4 linked regions of the Arabidopsis thaliana genome follow. The protein of the gene in region 3 purifies or fractionates together with the protein of the main gene of each other region. This does not show direct contact. Each region holds a gene or a part of one and is shown on either strand. Other genes may lie near its edges.

Region 1 (4,634 bases), on a different chromosome or scaffold from region 3:
TCAATAGACATGTCTTCATTTAATTGTATTTTTATAATTTTAATTACAATTACAACTAAATAATTTTTAAATAATATATTTTACATTTATAAGTTTTTACTTTTCTGAAAATTTTAAATTTTAATGAATTATTTCTTATTAAATTATTTACGATTTTAAAGGAAAGATAGTATTCCACAATTTTCTGGAATACGCAATTTTTAAATTTTACGGTTTTGACGGGAAAAATACAATTCTCCGATTTTACGATTTTGACGGAAAAACGTAATTCTGCAAATTTTCCACCAAAATCGTGATTTTATTATATTGGCGAGAACACAATTTTACGGTTTTGACGGGAAAACGCAATTCTCTGATTTTACGGTTTTGGCGGGAAAACACAATTTTCCAGCCAAAATCGTGATTTTATTATATTGGCGAAAAACACAATTTTACAGTTTTAGTGAGAAAACACAATTCTCCGATTTTACGGTTTTAGCGGTTAAATCGTTATTTTTTTGTATCGGTGAAAAAAATAATTTTACGATTTTACCGTTTTGGCGAAAAAAGCAATTCCATAATTTTTTCGTCAAAATCGTGATTTTATTGTATTGGTAAGAAAAACACAATTTTACCATTTTGTCGAAAAAAGACAAGTCTTCGATTTCTACAATTTTTACGGAAAAATGCAATTTCTCAATTTTTCTTTAAATTTATGATTTTTGATTTATCAATAATAACAATAATAAAATAGGCTAACCATGGGCTTGCCATATGGACATGGTCTTTATTGGGCATGGACATTTTTCGGACCAAACCGTCCAACTTGGCCCATAAAAAAACTGTCCGTACGGACACGCCCAATGGTCTTTGGACGGACCATTTGACACATCTAGAAACAACCGTCAGCAGTAGCCATTCGTTAAGAGTTTCAGAATTCCGATATATACATTTTGATACAACCTACACAAAAACAAAGACAAAGAGAGAAAATCCAACTATGAGGAGGATTATCTTGTTGATAGTGCCATCAAAAACAAGAGTTAGTTATTCACCTGAAGGTTTGGCTAAACAAAGTATATTATCTCTTTTCATATACCTGTCAATTACATCTTGACGCTGCATTGTCAACAATAGAGACCTCCTATGTCCTTTGTATTCACTCTTGGCTTTCTTAAGTACTCTAGTAGATTCATCTACAAATGTAAACATGGTTGTCTTCGCCGCGAGGTCGTTTGCATGTTCTTCTTTTACTTGTTTCGTTTCAGTTCGTTCTTGATCCTGCAAGATCGGGCGTCTTCTCATTGCGGCGTTAGTTAATTAAAGTATTTTGTGCAAAAAAAATTTCCGTCCAATTTTGCAACTTTATACTCTATGTCCAAAAAAAACAAAATAATTATATGAAATTTAAAATAATACGTAATATAGTCAATTTTTACAATTTTACATATTGTAAACGTAAAAACATTTGTTTTTGAAATTTTTTAAAAAATAAATAGTTAAACTACTCATATCAAGAATTTTGATTTGATATATTATTTATCAAAATTTAAAAGTTTAATAATATCAAAAAAAATTATATTGTGTATTTTTTTAATTTTATATAATTATTCTGCATTCTTTTAACGTGAAATGTAAAGTTGCAGCCCCAGGGAGTATTTTAGAGTTTTTTCGAAGATAATTGTAATCTTAACTTATTATTTCAAGGGTATTTTGGGAGATTGACTATTTTTTTTTGGGTTCTGTCTTGAAGACAAAGAAAGCTTTCTTCTATAATACATCTTTCTCTACAGATCACACAGAAGCAAAAATTCCATCTCCGATTTCGGAAGAGAGTTGTTCTCTTCTCTGAGAAGAAGAAGATGAGCAGAGGAAGCGGCGCTGGTTACGATCGTCACATCACTATTTTCTCACCGGAAGGTCGTCTCTTCCAAGTCGGTCAGTAATCAATTTCTCTATCTTTTTTGTTTTTTTAATTTATAACTTCGGAGATTGATATTACTGGTTACGGATTTTGTAGAGTATGCTTTCAAAGCCGTGAAAGCAGCTGGAATCACATCGATCGGTGTCCGAGGGAAAGATTCAGTATGCGTCGTTACGCAGAAGAAAGTTCCGGTGAGTCCTCTTTTGACTCCTTAGGGTTTTTGTTCAAGTGAGGGTTTTGAATTAGGGATCTGATGAATGATTTGTGGGCAGGACAAGCTTTTGGATCAGTCTAGTGTATCTCACCTTTTCCCTGTTACCAAGTACCTTGGATTGTTAGCCACTGGCATGACAGGTTTGTATTTCTCATCACAATGCTTGTTCATTATGGTCATGTTTTGATCTTTCTGGGGTTGCAGCTGATTCAAGGTCATTGGTACAACAAGCTAGGAATGAGGCTGCTGAGTTTAGGTTCCAATATGGTTATGAGATGCCTGCAGATATTCTTGCTAAATGGTAATTAATTACAGACTCTATGTGTCTCTCTACACTTATGAAAGTTACTAATACTGAACTATTGTGCTGTGACAGGATTGCAGATAAGTCTCAGGTTTACACACAACATGCTTACATGAGACCCCTTGGAGTAGGCAAGTTTCCCTAATCCCTATTTATACATTTTACTTGTGTGGTGGTTTTATCCTGATTCTTGTTTTCTTTGTCTTTGTGAAGTTGCCATGGTTCTAGGTATTGATGAAGAGAGAGGACCTCTACTTTACAAGTGTGACCCAGCTGGACATTTTTACGGTCACAAGGTAATACCACCTACTTGTTATGATTAGATAAGCCTCTGCCTCTTACATGCATATTCGTATAGACTACTGCCTTTGCTAACATGGAAGAAAGAAACATTATATTGCACTTGCCTAACCAGATACTGTACTGAGAAACTTATCTGCTTTTAAGAGTTACTGGTTGACCATGGAGGTGAAACCAAAAGTTCTACACACTGTAAACCTGTGAAATATGATGTAGTCACATACGTGGTACATATGTTCCATAGGATCAGAGGCTTCTATATAAAGTTTCTCCACTTATAAGTTAGCAAACATATGATGCAGGCAACTAGTGCTGGTATGAAAGAACAAGAAGCAGTCAATTTCTTGGAGAAGAAAATGAAAGAAAACCCTGCCTTCACATATGATGAAACAGTACAGGTAATTATGGACAATCCTTCTTTATTTTAGATCGGAAGCAGGTTGATCATTTGCAATGTTCATTTGCTTGCACTTTAAAAGCTTTATTGTTTTATATTAGGTTTAGAAACTGTAGGAACGCACAAAACACCAAAATTCTGTGACAGACCTAGACCATTATATCTGACTTTGAGTTATCAACTTTTGTAGACTGCTATATCCGCTCTCCAATCTGTTCTTCAAGAAGACTTCAAAGCAACTGAAATTGAGGTGTCAATTCTCCACTATCTGTACTCCTTTTTGTATAAATGTTGGCAAGAGTAGTATTTTGTATATATGTTGGCCAGAGTCGAATCGTGTTAGCCAGAGTTGTATCGTGGTTAGGAATAAAGAAGGAGAAACCAATGGAAATGTAGTTTTGTTAAAGCTTTGTGAAAAGGCATGTAAATATTTATGCTGGCTACTGTTGTGTTGGCAGGTGGGAGTTGTGAGAGCTGATGACCCTCTCTTCCGTTCCCTGAGAACAGAGGAGATCGACGAGCACTTGACGGCCATTAGTGAACGTGACTGATCACTTTCACTGGAACATTCAGTCGGGACTTTGCATCTCTTTCTTTTGCTTTAAATCTATCTAAGATGATTCACGTTTCAGAGAAACGTGTTTCCATTAGTCATGAGTCGTGTAGTTTTCATTTGAATCATCTGCTTCCTCCTAATAGGAGTTACATGTAAGGGTGTCAAATTAAGGTCGAATGAGATGGTTTAAGGTTTTGAATTTTAAAAGGCAAAACAAAGAAAGTTATTTACAAAAATTGGGAAATCTGCAAAACCTGGACACTTGGTCTTTAACATAATCTCCTAAAGGAACTCTGCATTTTGATGTCCGAGTCCAACTCAATGAACAGAGCTTGACTGAAACGTTTTTTGGAGGTGAAATTCCTTTATTCGTAGGCTTGTTAAAGAGTCTACGCTATAGCTTACCCTCGACTCTCTGCCACCCTTGATTGCGATACTGATATAGTTGAGCATAAAACTCAAAAGGTCGTGTGAAGAAGAATTTTGGTAAGATGTCCTTTGTTCTATCGCCTTTGATGTATATGTTTTTGAGTTGTGCGATGCATGCTGCATTGTCTTTGTACATAATTGTTGGAGCTTTTTTCCTTGCATAGATACCACAATCTTTTTGTATATGGTAACTATGGATCTTAGCCATACACGCTAAAAATCTTGCGGCTAGTTTCATGAATTGCTAAAATCTCTGAATGATTAGAAGATGTGGCTGCAACAGTTTTCTTCATAGAACGCCAATAAATAGCAATACATGTGAAGACATATTCTGTTTACGATCTACCATTATGGAGATCAGATAAATATCCTGCATCTGCAAAACCTTATGGAGATCAGATAAGTATCCTGCATCTGCAAAACCAATTAAATCTTCTAAATTGGTTAGGAAAAAGCAGACTCATGTCTTTCTTACATTGGAGATAACGAAGTATATGTTTAATTCCATTCCAATGTCTTCGAGTTGGACAT
Region 2 (5,248 bases), on a different chromosome or scaffold from region 3:
ATTATATGATTATTCGAATTCGGTTTCGGTTCGGATGGTGTTAGATTCGGAACGGTTTCGGATCAGTTTTTGATTTAAAAAAAAAACAAATTAAAAAATTGTACAATTTTAATAAAAATCGTTTAATTTTACTAAAATTTGGTTTAATTTTGCAAAACATTGTATAATTTTAACAAATAAAAGTAAAAAAATCGGACAGTAAAGTTATTTCGGATATTTTTGCTATTTAGTATTTTTTGGATATAAATTATAACTAATATTTTTAGATATATAATTTTATTTAGGATTAGCGGATATCCGTTCAATTTTTGGTTCGGATCGGATTTGTTTCGGATAATTCAGATAGGAATATCCATTATGTATTCGGATTTTGTGACTATTCGGTTCGGTTTGGTTTCGGAGCCGGATTTTTGATCAATTTTTGGATTTTATGCCCAGCCCTAAGCATTATGCCGATGTAAAAAAAATTTGACTGATCCTAAAATTTTTGACTGATCCTAAAAAATTGGAATCCATAACCTAAACCTTTTTTGTTGAAAGGTAAGAATGATCCCTCACTTTCTAACAACTGAAACCTTAAAACGAATTCGAGTTTAAGAACTGGTGAAGACGAAGACACAGCAACTGCAACGATAGAAATAAAAAGCTAGAAAGTGATGATATGAGTAAAGTTGGTGTCATTTCTGAAGAGTCAAAAGACTCGGAAACTCTCACAGCCTTAAGCATTACAGTGCATTTTTGTTTTTCAAGTTTGCTGGGTTGACTAAGTAAATTAAATTATGGAAGGAAGACCAAACAAAAGATCGATGGAGAGTGGTCACTTTAGAGGAATGTCTGATAGAAGCGAAGCAACGTAACTCACACTTGTTTCACTAAGTTGATCAGTCTCGTTCACTAATGGCTGTCAAATGCTCCTCAATCTCCTCCGTTGTCAATGCACGGAATTCCGGGTTCTCTGCTCTCACCACACCTACCTATCATTTCACCAAACGGTTTGATAAGATATATAACCCACAAATGATACAATAAACTTGCCATCATATACGAGAAGAGTTTTGTATACCTCAATCTCAGTAGCCTTGAAGTCTTCTTGAAGAACAGATTGCAAAGCCGATATGGCAGTCTACAAACGTATAAAAATATCAACGTGAGGAACAATGTGCATTTGGTACTTCATCAAGAATATTAATAGATTTGTATCTACAAAGTAACAGCACAAGTAATCAGCAGCTAAATGAACATATGTTACCGTATTCGAACATAAGCAGGGAAAATATGAAAGATAATGCAAATAATTTACCTGCACGGTTTCATCAAATGTGAAAGATGGGTTTTCTTTCATTTTCTTCTCCAAGAAATTGACTGCTTCTTGTTCCTTCATACCAGCACTAGTTGCCTGCACGAATACAGTTGCTTGTCTATTAGCTGCTTTTCAATTAACATGAAATATCTACGACTTTTGAGAGAGAGAATAATTTTTTTGTATATCCTATCCTCTAGAGATCTTGGTCATATAGTCCAGAAGACTCATGTGTAACCTGTATGTAGTCATGTCATTGAATAGATACACAAAACGTGTTTTGTTTCAACCTAGGATCAATCAGTTACTAAAAGTAGAAATGAGCACGATGCTTAAAAACCTTTATACATAAGATTCCTAAAAAGTGTTAAGATCAGCGAAATGAGAAAGACAGGATTGAAAAAGTTTCCTTTATTCTTCTCTGTAAATCTACAAATGAAAACAAGTAAACTAATGAACCCAGGAGCAACCGGATACAAAGAACTAAAGTGAGAGTTATGCTATCTTATAGAGTACCCAAACCTATCCCAAAGTCTGAAAGGCTTACCACAAACAACCCAAATGACCAAAACTCTCCGCAATTATGACTAACTCACTCCTATAGTCATATTATACTTTTTTCGTTTATGCTTATCACAATGACTTATAGACTGAGGCATTTTCTTCTATGTTAGTGACAAGCAGTAAATAGTGTGTAGTGTATGTCAATATGCTTGTAAGACGATATTATTCAGATATGTTATCAATAAATCTTGATGCAGGCCAGCAAAAGCAATCAAAACAGTAAGTATTAGAAGACAAGTTTAGTTAAAGTATAAGCTACGAGTGATAGATAATACCTTGTGACCGTAAAAATGTCCAGCTGGGTCACATTTGTAAAGTAAGGGACCATTCTCTTCATCAACACCCATTACCATAGCGACTTCATAAAGAGAGACAACAAGAAAATTCCTTTTGTCAGCCAATAATATTCATCAAAACGTGAAGGTGATATAATACGCATCAAACACAAGTAGGCACTAATGTCTAGATTGGTCTTAAGAAAAGAAAAAGATAGCAAACTTGCCAACTCCAAGGGGTCTCATGTAAGCATGTTGAGTGTAGACCTGTGACTTGTCCGCTATCCTGTAAGTAAAATAGTTATTTATCAGCAACACCATTTATCACAGAAGAGCTAGATAGATCAATAACTATAAGCCAGCCTCCACTAAGAAGTTAAAGAACCATCTGAAAAAAGAGACACCAAGTCGATTAGCAACGATACCATTTAGCAAGAATGTCAACAGGCATCTCATATCCATAAGTGAACCGAAATTCAGCTGCTTGATTCCTTGCTTGTTGAACCAAAGACCTTGCATCAGCTGAAAACGAAATTCACATGTTCAAATTACCATCCATAGCAATAAATTCTACAGCTTAAGAGGAGATAAAAGGGTCATGAAACGAACCTGTAATGCCAGTAGCTACCAATCCAATGTACTTGGTGATAGGGAACAGATGTGTAACACTAGACTGATCCAAAAGCTTGTCCTGTCCCAACCCAAAAACAAAAACCCTAATGGGTAAGATACACCAACAATCCTCAATCTACTAGAAACCTAAATCCATACAATGGTTCAATAAAAGACGCAACTTTTTTGCAAACCCTAAAAAAAACGAGAGACAATGAAAAGAGAGATTCACTCACAGGAACTTTCTTCTGGGTAACGACGCAAACCGAATCTTTCCCACGAACTCCGATTGAAGTAATACCAGCTGTTTTCACGGCCTTGAAGGCATATTCTACAAAAGCAAAAGTGTGTATTCAGTTTTCAGAGCTCGAAAAGGAATTGAGAGTGGGAATCGGAGAGTACTGACCAACTTGAAAGAGACGACCTTCCGGTGAGAAGATAGTGATGTGACGATCATAACCAGCGCCGCTTCCTCTACTCATCTTCTTCGATCTTCTGAATTCGGTGGAGTTGAATCAGAGATGTGTATATAACAATAAGGAATGGAATTGAATCAAGCTTTATGTCCAAGACAGAAGAAAAAAAGAGTCGAGGTGGTGTTTTTACTATTTTGCCCTTTGATGACCACTTTATTTACTCTTCTGCCACTTTAAGATATGCGATTTAAGATGCAATCAATCATATAGGAAGAAAAATATGTATTTAACTAAAATTAAAATGGAAAATATTAAAAAGATACTTTAAAATTGTTATAAGTTTACTTTCTTATTACAAAGATTAATAAAATTTCTAATTTCTAACGAATTTTATTTTTAATCACAAATTTTTATGAAAATAAAGATATAAACTATTTAGGTATCGATGAAAGTTTGTGAAAACATTGTAATACAGTTTAGAGAAACTTTTGAAGAAAATTTTAGTGATATATTATCGACACATTGTCTTGAGATCGGATTAGCCACATAGTAAGTTAGTAATTTGTTGCAAGAACTGATCAAAATCAATCCAACATGAGTGTAAGCCACGACGAGTGTAACGTATGGGAATTGAGTATTGAATTTGTGGGTTATGAAAGAAGAAATGTAAGAACCTAGAGATCGTGAAAGACCCCAAGTCTCGCTTTCGTAGTGAGCCACGACTTCTTCAGGTAGGACTCTACAGAGGATTGACCATGAAGAATGAGAGTTTTGATGGTGGGTGTTGAAAAGTTTGCGGAAAAAGGGAGATTCTATGAGCGATTTCATTGCTTGCAAACTAGTTTTGAAGTGGTGATGATTGTTAGTGGTAATCTCGCAAGTATAATTGCCCATAGATCATCTGTTAAGAAAATCATCTCCTTCTTCTTCTTCTTCTCTTCTTTGTCTCCATCCCAACTCTGTTCTGTCTACGTTCTCGTTTACTATATATAAATAAGGAAAAAATACACACGGGATAAAACTAAGCAAAATATATCCAACCGAAAATAAATAAATTATATCCAACTTTTAGCCTTTAGGCCATAAATATGTTTTCAGATTTTTAATGATTTTTGATTTTTGAACAATATTTGCAAAACAAAATTATAAAAACTCATGAAACTAATTCCCCTAGAATTTCTAAAACCTAATCAGCTTAAAAAGAAACGTTTAAAAAGTATATTTAAATCTTGATCGGCTAATTTACATTATAAGAATACTCAACTATATGATCAATACATCAACTAGAAAATCAAAATGATTAATTCCTATTTTTTTTCTTATTCCTATTTGAAAGAGGTTTATTTTTCTGATTTTATCCATATATTTTTCCAAAGTATTTAAGAACTGATTATCCTATTATGATTTGAATTAAAGCTACTTTTATTGGGGAAACTGGAAATCAATCATTGATGGTTGAGATGATCGCCCAAGAATATGGAAATCATGAAGATTGCAGAAGGATCTAAAATATTATCATATCTTAGTTTTAGTAATATTTACATTTATCAAATATATATGATTTACATTTAGGTTTTATCTTTGATTAGGAAATCTCATCTCTATATAAGAGAATGTATATTGTATCATTATTCTGTTCTTTACTCTCATCAAATATATAACCTTTTGATTCAAGAAAGGAATGATGAACAAAAGCCATGAATATTGTTTTTTTTTGAAAATAATTAAATTTTACTTAGATAACTTTACTTCATTGTGATCTGGGATTTTAATTCAAGAAAGTGTATGCATCTCTGTTGGCTATCATGATGTTCTTGGCTGAGCTTTAAATTATGAGCGTACGAGCCAAGTTCAAATCAGAATTTTAGGCATTAAGAAGCTCATTTTTCGGTAATAATTAGCATATATTATGTGATGAGTTTATGGTCTTGGGATATGCAATATCAGGACTCTTGTTGTTGAGTCATATACTTTGCTGGTTCGTGATTATTTTATTGACTAAGGGACTAAAGAATCTGATTTCTTATCACAATGAAAAATTCCATGTGTGTAATTGTTGATTTTTCCTAGTTGAACAGGCT
Region 3 (6,159 bases):
ATCTCGGTGCGGTTTCTGAACTCATCGAACTCGAAATAAGCTACACTGGCGAGAAAAGAATCACAGAACTTATGTTAGGAGTTTTATCTCGTTTATGTTGCTGTGCGAACGGTAGAGCCGAGATTCTTGCTCATAGGGGCGGAATCGCGGTTGTGACAAAGCGGCTATTGAGGGTTTCACCTGCGGCAGACGATAGAGCTATCTCTATCCTAACTACAGTGTCAAAATTCTCGCCGGAAAACATGGTGGTGGAAGAGATGGTTAATGTTGGGACGGTAGAGAAGCTCTGTTCCGTTCTAGGAATGGATTGTGGTTTGAACTTGAAGGAGAAAGCAAAAGAGATACTAAAAGATCATTTTGATGAGTGGAAGAAGTTTCCATGTATTGACATAACTCTTCTCACTAAGCTGCTAAGCATCTCACCCAAAGGGCCAAAGATCTAAGTAAATAATCTGCTGCACACACAACGCATACTTAGCATCGAACTTTTTTCATACTCAAACACATAGATATCGAAATATTCAAGTGTATGCATTTTTTTTGATGAGGATCGATCAATCCTCAATCGAGCTATTAGATCAAGATGATGATGCATATAGTTAGAGTTGCATCTACAACACATCTGAAGTTGTTACAGTGATTCATTCTTGTCAAGATTTGATTAAGCAAATATAAACTCCTTAACCAAAACAACACTAAAACTTATGTTTCACAGATTGTATAGACATACATACCCAACCAGTATTCTAATTGAACAAACACAAACCCAATAATAGGTTTTTTAACTTCAAAACAAAAATTCAACAAAATCGAAATTAGAGAAGAAGAAGAAGAATCCCACAAGTTTGGCATTAGAGACGGAGCTTATCGCCTTCGCATTCCACGGCCACGACCTCCACCGCGTCCTCTCCCCATTGCACCTGCGGCGTCTCCCTGTGCGCTCTCAGACTGCAATAGACAACAATTATCAATACAATACATATACATTGTCAAAACATACAAAAGAAAATGAGAGCATGTGTTATTTACTTTAGGGTTCTTCACGGTTTCGTCGACACTAAGAATGAGGCAAGCCGCTTCAGTCGCAGCATTTATTGCGTTGATCTACCAGAACAAAGGGAATCATACTATCAATAAACTTTTCAATGAAAGATATCCACACAAGATAGACATATTCATAACTGGCACAATAGTCCCAAGAACGAAAAAAGAGTGGAATTTTATAGAATCTTGAAATACCTTCACAACTGCTGGTTCCCAAACGAAGTTAGCAAAAGAATCTGCTATGCCACCAGTGTTAATGTCCACTCCATACGAAGCTCCTTCACCTGTTATAACAAAGATATCATGAATGAGATTAAGCAGCTCTCATCAAAAGATGAATACATCAAGCTTGTGACTGTGAGAGAAGGCTCACCGCTTTGCATGGCGTGTTTTTGTCTAAGTTTATTCAAGACGTCAGTTGCATCAAATCCAGCATTATCACATAACTGTCGTGGAATAACCTGTAGTACCACCATAAACAGTGTGAATTCAGATTTTTGTGTATCAAAGGTGAACCAACAATTTTCAGATCCTGGCCAAAGATATTGAGACCCTCCTTGGTTGTTTACTAACTCCTATTGTACACAACAACAAGCGAACAGGAAATATGTCTTTTCTATAGGTGCCGAATAACACAGAACACAATTAGAAAGCTTTTATTTATATGTGAAATTAAGAGGTACAAAAGTTAAAACAGCCAAGCCAACCAGGAAGTGTACCTCTAGAGCCTTCGCATAAGAGTTGATGAAAAGCTGTGACTTCCCAGCAATTGTTCTTGAATGCTGCCTCAGGTACTTGCTTATCTCCATCTACAACCAGGAGGAATGGTTCAACCCTACATGCAAAATTTAAATACTGAACCACAGTGAATGGAGGATACTCACATCTATAGCTCCACCTCCAGGAACAACAGTTGAGTTCTTCACAGCTCTTCTCACAATCATAATCGCATCATGTAAACTCCGCTCAGCTTCTTCGATGAACTGCCATTAACGTTTCAAAGGAATTAATATTTATGTTGATTGGTTTACATTCATGAAGCCTCCAATATTTGATGCATACCTGATCAGCTCCACCACGGAGAACAATAGTTGCTGTTCGTCCTGAAGGGCAACCACTGAATATATTAAATCTCTCCCCACCAACTTGTTTTTCCTCAAAAATCTCACAAGTTCCAAGAACCTGCAGAAATTAAAATCAATCTCTGAATCAGATGAATGAAATCAACAAGTCACCTAAAGCTAATAAGCATATCCAATAGCAAACAAAGAAATTCCTTTTTCGCGAACCTCATCTATTATGTTGTTAACACTTGTCTGAACTGTTCCTCCAGCTGCAGCAGCCACACGGTTAAGATCTTCCTCAGCAACACGACCAGCACAGAAAATATCACGATCGGCAAAATACTGCAAGAAAATGCCAAGTAAAACACAGTCAAGCACTCTTGATTGATATTGAAAATGAAACACCAAGCTGCAAGGTACTGTAGCGAACAATATTGATTGACAAGAGCAAAGAACTTATTCATATGTTTCAGAGGAAATAAAACATCTTAAAACTTACTACAACACGAACTTATAATTGAAACTTTAAAGTGTTGCTCATGCATAATAGTCTTATACTGAGAATTGCAAGACCATAACCTACCAATGTAATCATGCCTCTAAGATGTCAAATGATTTCACAAGAAATACAGATAGACGTCAATTTTCAGCCTGAATAAGCAGGAAAAACATCATCCAGCAGATGAGCAAAACAAAGAAAAGGTATCAACAAACCTGAGTAGCTAGATCACCAATAGCCAATCGAGAAAGAACAACTTTTGCTCCACTCTCAACACATTTGTCTAGTTTGTCATAAATGATATTCCATTCTGCATCAACTATTGACTGGTACTGTGATGGATCTGACAGCCTGTGAACAATGGGTGGAGCCAAGTCAAATAAGGCCAAAAGATGTTTAATTGAAGGGAAAAAATAAACATAAAAATCCAGAATGCTGACCTAATTTCAGCGTTTTCCTTCTCAGATTTCAACTCCAATTCGATGTTAAGCAAGAGAATTTTGGGGTTAAGAAATTTCTTTGGCTGTTGCTCAAAACCAGCATACGAGAATGTTTTTTTGAAAGCTACACCATCAACGAGGAAAGAGTCTCGCATATTGCCACCAGGAACCTGCAGAGCAAACCTTGACATTAGCTTAGATGCATCATTAACTTGGCTTCACAGTATAGACACAAATAGAAATGTGTTTACCTTCTTGATCCCAATCAGATTTAGCCTGTCGTCATTCCCAATGGCCATAACAGCATCAACAACCATTGTAGCAAAAAACTCCTTTTCTCCACCGATAAGCTTAGATGAGAGAGTCGTAGCAGCACATTTAGCCAATAAACCTTTCTTTTCCTCTACACTCTTCCCCTCAATGCTAACAGCGAGTTCTTTAACCTTGGCAATTGCCTACATCAATAATTAATAGTGAGTAAGGCAACAAAAGAACCAATAAATCAAAAAGACTTGTAATTATACTAACGAGAAAAAATTACAAACCAAAGTGCTTGCAGTGCGGTAACTCCTAATTAGATTCTGAGCGTGAACACCATCCTCAATAAATGGCTTCGCTTCCTTCAAAAACTCTGCTGCAAGAAGAACCACTGTAGTTGTCCCATCACCCACCTAACCAAACAACAACAACAACAGAAGATTCAGTGTTCATGAACTCAGTCACTCATTCTAAGATCTGAATACTAGATCGCACTTAATATAAACACTAGAGATCTAATATGGAATCGCTAATTAGCTCAAGATCAGTCCAATTACGATTTTTTCGAAAACTCAGATTGGGAATTAAAAAATTGAAATAAAACAAAGACCTCGGAGTCTTGGGATTTGGCGATATCGACGAGGATCTTAGCAGCAGGATGAACAATGTCGAGGAGCTTCATGATGGTAGCACCATCGTTAGAAATGGTGACGGATCCTTTATCGTCGTGAATGAGTTTGTCCATCCCTCGTGGCCCGAGCGTGGTTCGAACTACATCTCCAACAGCAGTGCAAGCGTTGATGTTGCTTACTAGTTGCGCTTTGCCCTGAGATGTGTCCGTCCCTTCCTTCAGCAGTATGATCTGCGGTTGCTGCTCATCAAACCAAAACCAAAGTAGTGGCACGTTAGTCAGTTTATAGCACAGAGAGTGAGATAGAGAGAGAAAGTGTGTGTAGATGCGACTTACCATCATCGATGCCATTGTAGATGCGTGACGAAGAGCTTCAGAGATGTGAAGAAAGTGAGAGAAATGGAGCAGAGAGAGAGAGAGAGGGGGGGAGTTAGGGTTTAGGTCTTCTGTTGTTCATATAGGAGCAACTAGATCGACCGATGTTCTTAGAACCGGACCGGCCGGTTGAACCGATAATTTCACTTAAAACGCAGCGTTTTATGGTCTGGACCCCACTTAGAAAGTCATAATTAAATTATTTAAAAGTTTCTCCATGCTTTTTTAATGGAGTTAAATTATGCAGACACAAAATTATGTAAAAATTGGCTTTCGACGCATATATTTGTTGATTTTTCACTTTTGCTCTGTTAATTTAGAATTTGGTAAACTCTAATGTGGAAAGGATGGCAATGGAGGTGGCTCTTTTGGGAGGAACTCAAAAGGATTATACTTTTTGAAGCAATACTTGTTGTTTGTAACTAAGCTACATGATAAATCAAAGTTTAATTAGTCATTAGTCTCTCTAGACAATTGTTCTTATATATTATGTGTTCTAACTTCTATCAAAACTATAAGGACAATTGACAAGTTATTAAACATAACGACTACAAAGTACAAACCATTAAACTACATAGTACAAATCTGATCAAAAATATGTTTGCTTTATTGTTGTTAATTATTTACTTTTATGTATCTATATATTTAACACTTGAACTCAGAGAATGCATCCTTTGGAAGACCACCACGACCACACGCATTGTTAACGTTGCGAGCAGCTATCTTTAGCTTGGGGGACTTGAGAAACAAACACATACATTTTTTTTTCATTATCATATTATAACAACAACGCTCATAAATGTAACCGTGAGTAAAGAATTCAGTTTTGTCTATGCACCATTGCATGTCCTTTTCACAATTACCCACACCACCGGCTACTTTGATGGGAGCCGGAAATGACGTCATGAATATGACCAAGGCAATGGACATCAATGGGATGATCTTCATGTCTGATTTATTAACCTACCAGCTGATGACAAAATATCTCAAATCAGGAACAATTAGTTTTGCAAAAATGTTGTATATTTTTTGTTTGTTTGAGATCTTTAAATAGGAAACTTGGAATCAACGATTTATACAACATATGGGTATCCTATAGATTAGGGAGGAAAGTGATTCTATTTTTATATGGTTGTTCATATTGAACATTTGACTTGTTCTTTATGTATATCGGTGTATGGTTGTTAGGATGTTGTATATCTTACAAATCGAACAATCGAAGTATTACAATTGCTTTCCGGTGCTCAAAGACTGGGCTATGGGTTTAGGCTTGGCCCTTTAACGGAGAAAAGCAAGGATTTGGTGGGCTTCTTTAAATTTGGTTCGATGGACGATTCTAAATTATGTAAATTAATTTGATATACAGTAACATTTTTGTTTTTTTAAATGTTTTCTGCTGAAGTCAATTTATCAATAAGTGTTTCGTATGGGCTAATGTATCCTTTGGATGATAAACTTAAAGTATCCAAAGCCGACAAAATAAAATTTTAAAAATCATTCAAATTACGAATGTTTTTTTCTTTCTCCAATTTATATATGATTTTGGGATCTGTTACCGTATATACTTACACGTACGGGACAAGGGCACACGGTTTCGCTTTCAACTTCACCTTCCCTTCTCCGCCATTGTTACTTTCTCAGAAGCTTCCAAGTCAACCAATAGAGACTTACTTGTTTGACTTCTTCCTCTCTTACCTCATAATCCTCCTTTTGGACTTTTCAATAAAACCGCCTACTTGAATCTGTACGACTTCTTCTCATTTTTCCATTCTTTAAGTCTTCCCGTTGATTCATTCCGATCTGAAATCTCTCTCTAGATTTCTCTATTTTTCGAATTTTAAATGAACG
Region 4 (4,756 bases), on a different chromosome or scaffold from region 3:
TACCATAACATGAAATTTAGAATTATGTCTAGCTGTTATGGTTTAGAGCACAAATTTAGTAGTACAATACATCATCAACGACACACGCATATATACTCTCACTTCTTAGAATTCACATCTCCACAGTGGTTAACACTCTCGAAGTCACACCGGAATCATAAACGCCATCTAAAAACGTAAATCTTTTGAACCTAAAGCAATATAGCTTCCATGAGCAGGCATAGGAGGAAGAGAAGCGATAAGGATAAAGCCATTGCGTCGGAGAAAGAATATACCAACGGTAGTGACGTGTTTCAGGGTTATGAGGAGTGCATAGAGACAATGTTCTGTGCAACGTAACAATGATCGGAAACGCCTTGAAAGGAGTGAGATTGTTGGGAATTGAATCTTGGTATACGCGCTATGAGTCCAAGATGAAATCATCGGGAAGTGACGTAATCGGAGACCAGTGCCAGAAGCCGCGAGAATCCCCAAATTTTAGGCTCAAATCAACTATTCAGAGTGAGTGAGTCCACGTTTAGATCCTATCAGATGACTTTTTCTATAAACTGATTGACTTGTTATGGTTATGTGAATAATGAATGATTGTCAAGGACATGTTTTAAGAAAAAATGTATGAAAATAGTCTAAATGTAGAACTGAAATTTCGGACATCTTGAAATGGAAGTCAAAAGATTAAAAAGCAATTGTAATTTCTTCTACGACTGAAATAAAAAACTTGAATCTAATCCCAGAGAAGATGGTGTTTTACATTCAGTAGCTTCAAAAGGAGGAAGAAGGTTTTCTTTTCTCTTATGCTGCAACAAGATCTGGTGTCTCGGCTTCAACAGATAGTAAAGTGGTGTGAACTTTGTCAACCCAACTGTCTAATTGATCCCTCAAAGCCTTGATCTGTGGAATCCCTAGTACTCTCGGTTGCGCCCATGAGACATAAATTGTTCCGTTCACTTGGTCTATGATGCCCTCGATCAAATGCACCTGTATCATTCATTTTCCACTTTAGATTCTACAGAAGCATACACAATCATTCTATGTCTAAGTCAGGAACAAAACCAGTCAAGATCATTTGAGTTCTATAACAAAATTACGCAATAAGACGACAACTGCAAATACATAAACCTAGAGATACAATGCGTATGGTGATGTTTACTATGTTGTTCTTAATCAGATGACAGGTAGTTCAGTATCATTATGTTGGTCACTCAGACAAACTCTTTCCTTGGTCACCACAACAGATTTTAACCCGGAAGCTGCAGAGTTTTTTGGGTACTAAAAGAACACAAGAGAGAAAAATGCAAGGAGATACTAATACTTACAGAAAGGCTCTTCATGAGAAGGTGCTCAACATCTTCAATGGAAAGTTTAGTACGCTCAGCGATGATGCTCAAAGGAATGGTTCTATCTTCAGCGGGTCGGCTGATGTAGAGTTTAAAATCAAATGTATTAGCACATGATTTTATTTCTTTGATTGAAACGGCGTGAGGTACAATTGCCTAGAGAAAAGTTTACCTGAAGATGATCTCGATAAGGCAGAGAATGTTGATCTTTTCCAAAAGCTTCTTCTCGTTCTCAACAAGTGCTGGTTGAGCAATCAAGGATGCGTTGTGCACACGGCATAGTTCTTGATACTGAACTAAATCACCATGGTTGAATGCCTGTAGAATGTGGTAGAGCCATTCCACATTTGTTCCAAGGAGACTTTTCAACTGTCATCAGAGAAATGCTACATGTAAGAGAACCATCTACAATTCTAAGCAAAACTATAACATGAGAGTTAGAAGCCGTCTCAACTCACAAACAGTATCTATCGTAAATCCAAGCAATTAAAGATCAACAAGAAGCCTTTTATCTACACAAGAAAATATAACAGTAGTTTATGTCGAGGATGAAGGAAAACTTACAATGGGATGGGCTAACAGTTCCCCAAAGTTATAGATGTTCTCCCCAAGTAGAGCTGATAGTGACAAATCGAAAGCCAAATCCTGAAAGACACAGATATGATCTGACATTAGCAAAATTTGATCGGTGACTCTAGGGAAGCTAACTAGTACGCAACTTTTTTCTTCAGTTTCCTCTAAATTTCATCAAATTTCTGAATACTCTTATCCACTATCGCTAACAGGAAACTTAACATAAGAACAAAATATAAGAACAAGGTACATAATATTACAGGGGCATACCAGCTTAAACGATTCTGAAAGGTCCTCCACAGACGTGTATGCAAGATAAAGCAGAGCACTTTTGTAGAAATCAGAAAATTCTTGACGGCACTTATGGTACTGAGAAGACACCCAATAGAAGTTGGCATAGACTGATGGATCAATGTCAGTCATACTATCAAGAGAGCTCTTTCCATCGTCCAAGATTTTTTTGCACTCCTTCTGATCACCTTGCTCAAGCTTGAATAAAGCTTTTTGTGTTTCAATATAAATGATTGGTTCAGTAATCCTAGGCTCTTTAGTAGCTCTAAGTTTCTCAATCACGCTTTCAAGATAGCTAACTGCAGCTTCTTTCTCAGAGTACTGTCGAGAGACCACCACAGCAAAATGCGCAAGCTTCAGAAGATTGATCTTCGTCTCAAAGTCAGTGATGAAATTGTGATAGAACTGAATCAAAGCATCACCAGCCTGAAATGAAAAAAAATTATATTATAACAATGACACAGGTTAAGATCAGACACAAAAACTTGGAAGCAATCAAAATTGATCTATAAACCCTAAAACCTAACTTTCTTCGAAGAACTTAATCCGAGAAAACCCTATCATCTTCCAAACGGATCTCTAACTCGTGTTATTCGGAAGTAAAAACACAGATTCTACGATATTTGTCGAGATCTATGAACCCTAAAATCCACAAGGACCACTACTAAACCTAGATAGATATTGAAACCAATTAGTATTACGGAGGAGAAGCAAAAGTACCTGAAAGACAGCGAGAGCGATGAACTGTTCGAGCTTAAGGGTGAGTTGATGCCAGAGCTTTTTCTGATACAGATCTGCAAGGGAATTGTACCATTCGCCGAGCTCTGGATGCGTATTTTTCAGAGATTCCAAGTATTGTAGAGCAGCCATGGCGAAAGACGAAGACGAATGAAGAAACGAGTTTGCGAATTCTCTCGATCTTATGTAACTCAGCTCAGCTCTGCGTTTAAAGAATCCTAAAAAACCCTTTTCTCAGTGTTTTCACGCCCGACCCGAACCGTCCGGTCCGACCGGTTAACCCGTAACCCGAACACTTTTCCGGTTTGGGTTTAGTGCTAAAACCCAACAAGTTCAAAACCGAAAAAACCCACAAAAACTCGCAATTAACCCGTGACCCGGTGAACCGGTTGAACCGGCCGGGTGTGGGTTTTAAAAAGTTCTCTTGATTTTACAATAAAATATGGGATTTTAGACTTTATTCAATTATTTTTAGAAGTTTTTTCAGTTCTTAAATTCATTTGATGTTTTAGATTTTGTTGAAGACTTTACAATACCGCCTTAAAATTGAATCGAATGGTGAGAGAGACAACCGAGATTAGTTGTTTTAATTCACGATGTTTTATTAATTTATTTATGTCATTGATGATCTCCTAATATATTTGTTACGGTGTTAGACATTTATTGGATTTCAAATTTTTAACCACTTTATTATTATTGTTTGATTTTTTCTATATATATATATATATATTTGGGTGTAAATGATTTTATATTTTGTTAAATATAATATAATTTTATATTTGATTAAATATGATATGATTATTTTTGTTTTATATTTATAAATACTACAAATTTTTTTATTATAAAATACTCTAAATTTTCTATTAATATTAAATTTATTAAATAAATTTTAACTAATTAACCCGTGGTCCAACCCGGTTGACCCGGTGACCCGGTGACCCAGAAGGTAGTCCGGTTCATCGTCCGGGTCGGGTTTCAAAACATTGCCTTTTCTCTTCTTCTTTTTTGCTAAGCAGATAATCCTTTAATTTAAAAAGAAAAGAGAACTACCGGGACCAAAGTATAAATATGTGAGTTTTAAGGGGTATTTATGTAATTTAAATTATAATAAGGTGGATTTGTAATTTAGCATTCCACATGACCGGACAGAGTTTTGAAAACCGGAACAGAAACGAACCAGAAAGTTTTTTTCAGAAAAGAAAAATATAAATATTAGATCAATGTCATTTGATTACTAAATAATCTTATTTATGGTTTACCATAATAATTTTTATTATGACGGTATTTTACAATATTAATAAAATATTGCAAATTTTAAAAATGATTTTCAATTATTTATAAAAATAATATAAAACACATAAAGAAATCAAGTTAATAAGAAAAAGAGAATTTTAACCATAAATAATAGTAATAGTACAAAAAGTTTTTTGGATCCTAAGTTTTACCGACTGCTCCATCAAAAACTTTAAAGCGAAAGATGATTATTTACGATGGATCCGTAAATATAGATATCATAAATAGTTTGTATATTGTTGTTACCTTATGTTTTCATGTTAAGATGTTTATTTGCTCATTTTTCTTTTATGTTATGTTTTGATCAATGACAATTTAATCTATTAGGTTATGTTTTGGAATTAATTAGATAACATTTTGATAACCGGTGATAACAACAACTTGATGACCGGTGATAACAACAACGGTTATGTTTGCTATTTAAAATTTATTTTGAAAGCATGTTAAATGAAAAATTTGAATATCTGATATTGTTATATAGTTTACAGTCTTGTTTAATATTTACATGTACAATATGTCAGTAT

The links.
Region 1: the proteins of AT3G11830 (region 3) and PAA2 fractionate together in Arabidopsis thaliana (co-fractionation; one large-scale study listed by BioGRID). This does not show direct contact.
Region 2: the proteins of AT3G11830 (region 3) and PAA1 fractionate together in Arabidopsis thaliana (co-fractionation; one large-scale study listed by BioGRID). This does not show direct contact.
Region 4: the proteins of AT3G11830 (region 3) and AT5G45620 fractionate together in Arabidopsis thaliana (co-fractionation; one large-scale study listed by BioGRID). This does not show direct contact.

The regions. Positions count from the first base shown.
Region 1 is NC_003071.7:2,232,385-2,237,018, forward strand, and holds PAA2 (20S proteasome subunit PAA2), read left to right. Parts: upstream 1-1,634; 5' UTR 1,635-1,841; coding exon 1,842-1,917; intron 1,918-1,999; coding exon 2,000-2,094; intron 2,095-2,175; coding exon 2,176-2,257; intron 2,258-2,321; coding exon 2,322-2,418; intron 2,419-2,493; coding exon 2,494-2,552; intron 2,553-2,634; coding exon 2,635-2,717; intron 2,718-3,023; coding exon 3,024-3,119; coding exon of another isoform or gene 3,120-3,149; exon of another isoform or gene 3,150-3,308; coding exon 3,309-3,368; coding exon of another isoform or gene 3,369-3,370; intron 3,371-3,576; coding exon 3,577-3,669; 3' UTR 3,670-4,086; downstream 4,087-4,634. UniProt on the Arabidopsis thaliana protein: The proteasome is a multicatalytic proteinase complex which is characterized by its ability to cleave peptides with Arg, Phe, Tyr, Leu, and Glu adjacent to the leaving group at neutral or slightly basic pH.
Region 2 is NC_003076.8:13,764,536-13,769,783, forward strand, and holds PAA1 (proteasome alpha subunit A1), read right to left. Parts: upstream 3,354-5,248; 5' UTR 3,234-3,353; coding exon 3,158-3,233; intron 3,083-3,157; coding exon 2,988-3,082; intron 2,831-2,987; coding exon 2,749-2,830; intron 2,662-2,748; coding exon 2,565-2,661; intron 2,426-2,564; coding exon 2,367-2,425; intron 2,223-2,366; coding exon 2,140-2,222; intron 1,397-2,139; coding exon 1,301-1,396; intron 1,124-1,300; coding exon 1,064-1,123; intron 975-1,063; coding exon 882-974; 3' UTR 541-881; downstream 1-540. UniProt on the Arabidopsis thaliana protein: The proteasome is a multicatalytic proteinase complex which is characterized by its ability to cleave peptides with Arg, Phe, Tyr, Leu, and Glu adjacent to the leaving group at neutral or slightly basic pH.
Region 3 is NC_003074.8:3,730,862-3,737,020, reverse strand, and holds AT3G11830 (TCP-1/cpn60 chaperonin family protein), read right to left. Parts: upstream 4,365-6,159; 5' UTR 4,288-4,364; coding exon 4,273-4,287; intron 4,177-4,272; coding exon 3,916-4,176; intron 3,719-3,915; coding exon 3,593-3,718; intron 3,503-3,592; coding exon 3,299-3,502; intron 3,218-3,298; coding exon 3,048-3,217; intron 2,959-3,047; coding exon 2,823-2,958; intron 2,451-2,822; coding exon 2,334-2,450; intron 2,227-2,333; coding exon 2,107-2,226; intron 2,028-2,106; coding exon 1,929-2,027; intron 1,854-1,928; coding exon 1,764-1,853; intron 1,506-1,763; coding exon 1,418-1,505; intron 1,329-1,417; coding exon 1,240-1,328; intron 1,105-1,239; coding exon 1,030-1,104; intron 949-1,029; coding exon 865-948; 3' UTR 550-864; downstream 1-549. Other genes in the region: PUB24 (E3 ubiquitin-protein ligase PUB24-like protein), read left to right, coding at 1-443; AT3G11825 (Bifunctional inhibitor/lipid-transfer protein/seed storage 2S albumin superfamily protein), read right to left, coding at 4,957-5,259; SYP121 (syntaxin of plants 121), read left to right, coding at 6,153-6,159. UniProt on the Arabidopsis thaliana protein: Molecular chaperone; assists the folding of proteins upon ATP hydrolysis. Known to play a role, in vitro, in the folding of actin and tubulin.
Region 4 is NC_003076.8:18,499,905-18,504,660, reverse strand, and holds AT5G45620 (Proteasome component (PCI) domain protein), read right to left. Parts: upstream 3,176-4,756; 5' UTR 3,072-3,175; coding exon 2,922-3,071; intron 2,628-2,921; coding exon 2,181-2,627; intron 1,983-2,180; coding exon 1,902-1,982; intron 1,707-1,901; coding exon 1,510-1,706; intron 1,417-1,509; coding exon 1,317-1,416; coding exon of another isoform or gene 1,239-1,316; exon of another isoform or gene 979-1,238; coding exon 793-978; 3' UTR 517-792; downstream 1-516. UniProt on the Arabidopsis thaliana protein: Acts as a regulatory subunit of the 26S proteasome which is involved in the ATP-dependent degradation of ubiquitinated proteins.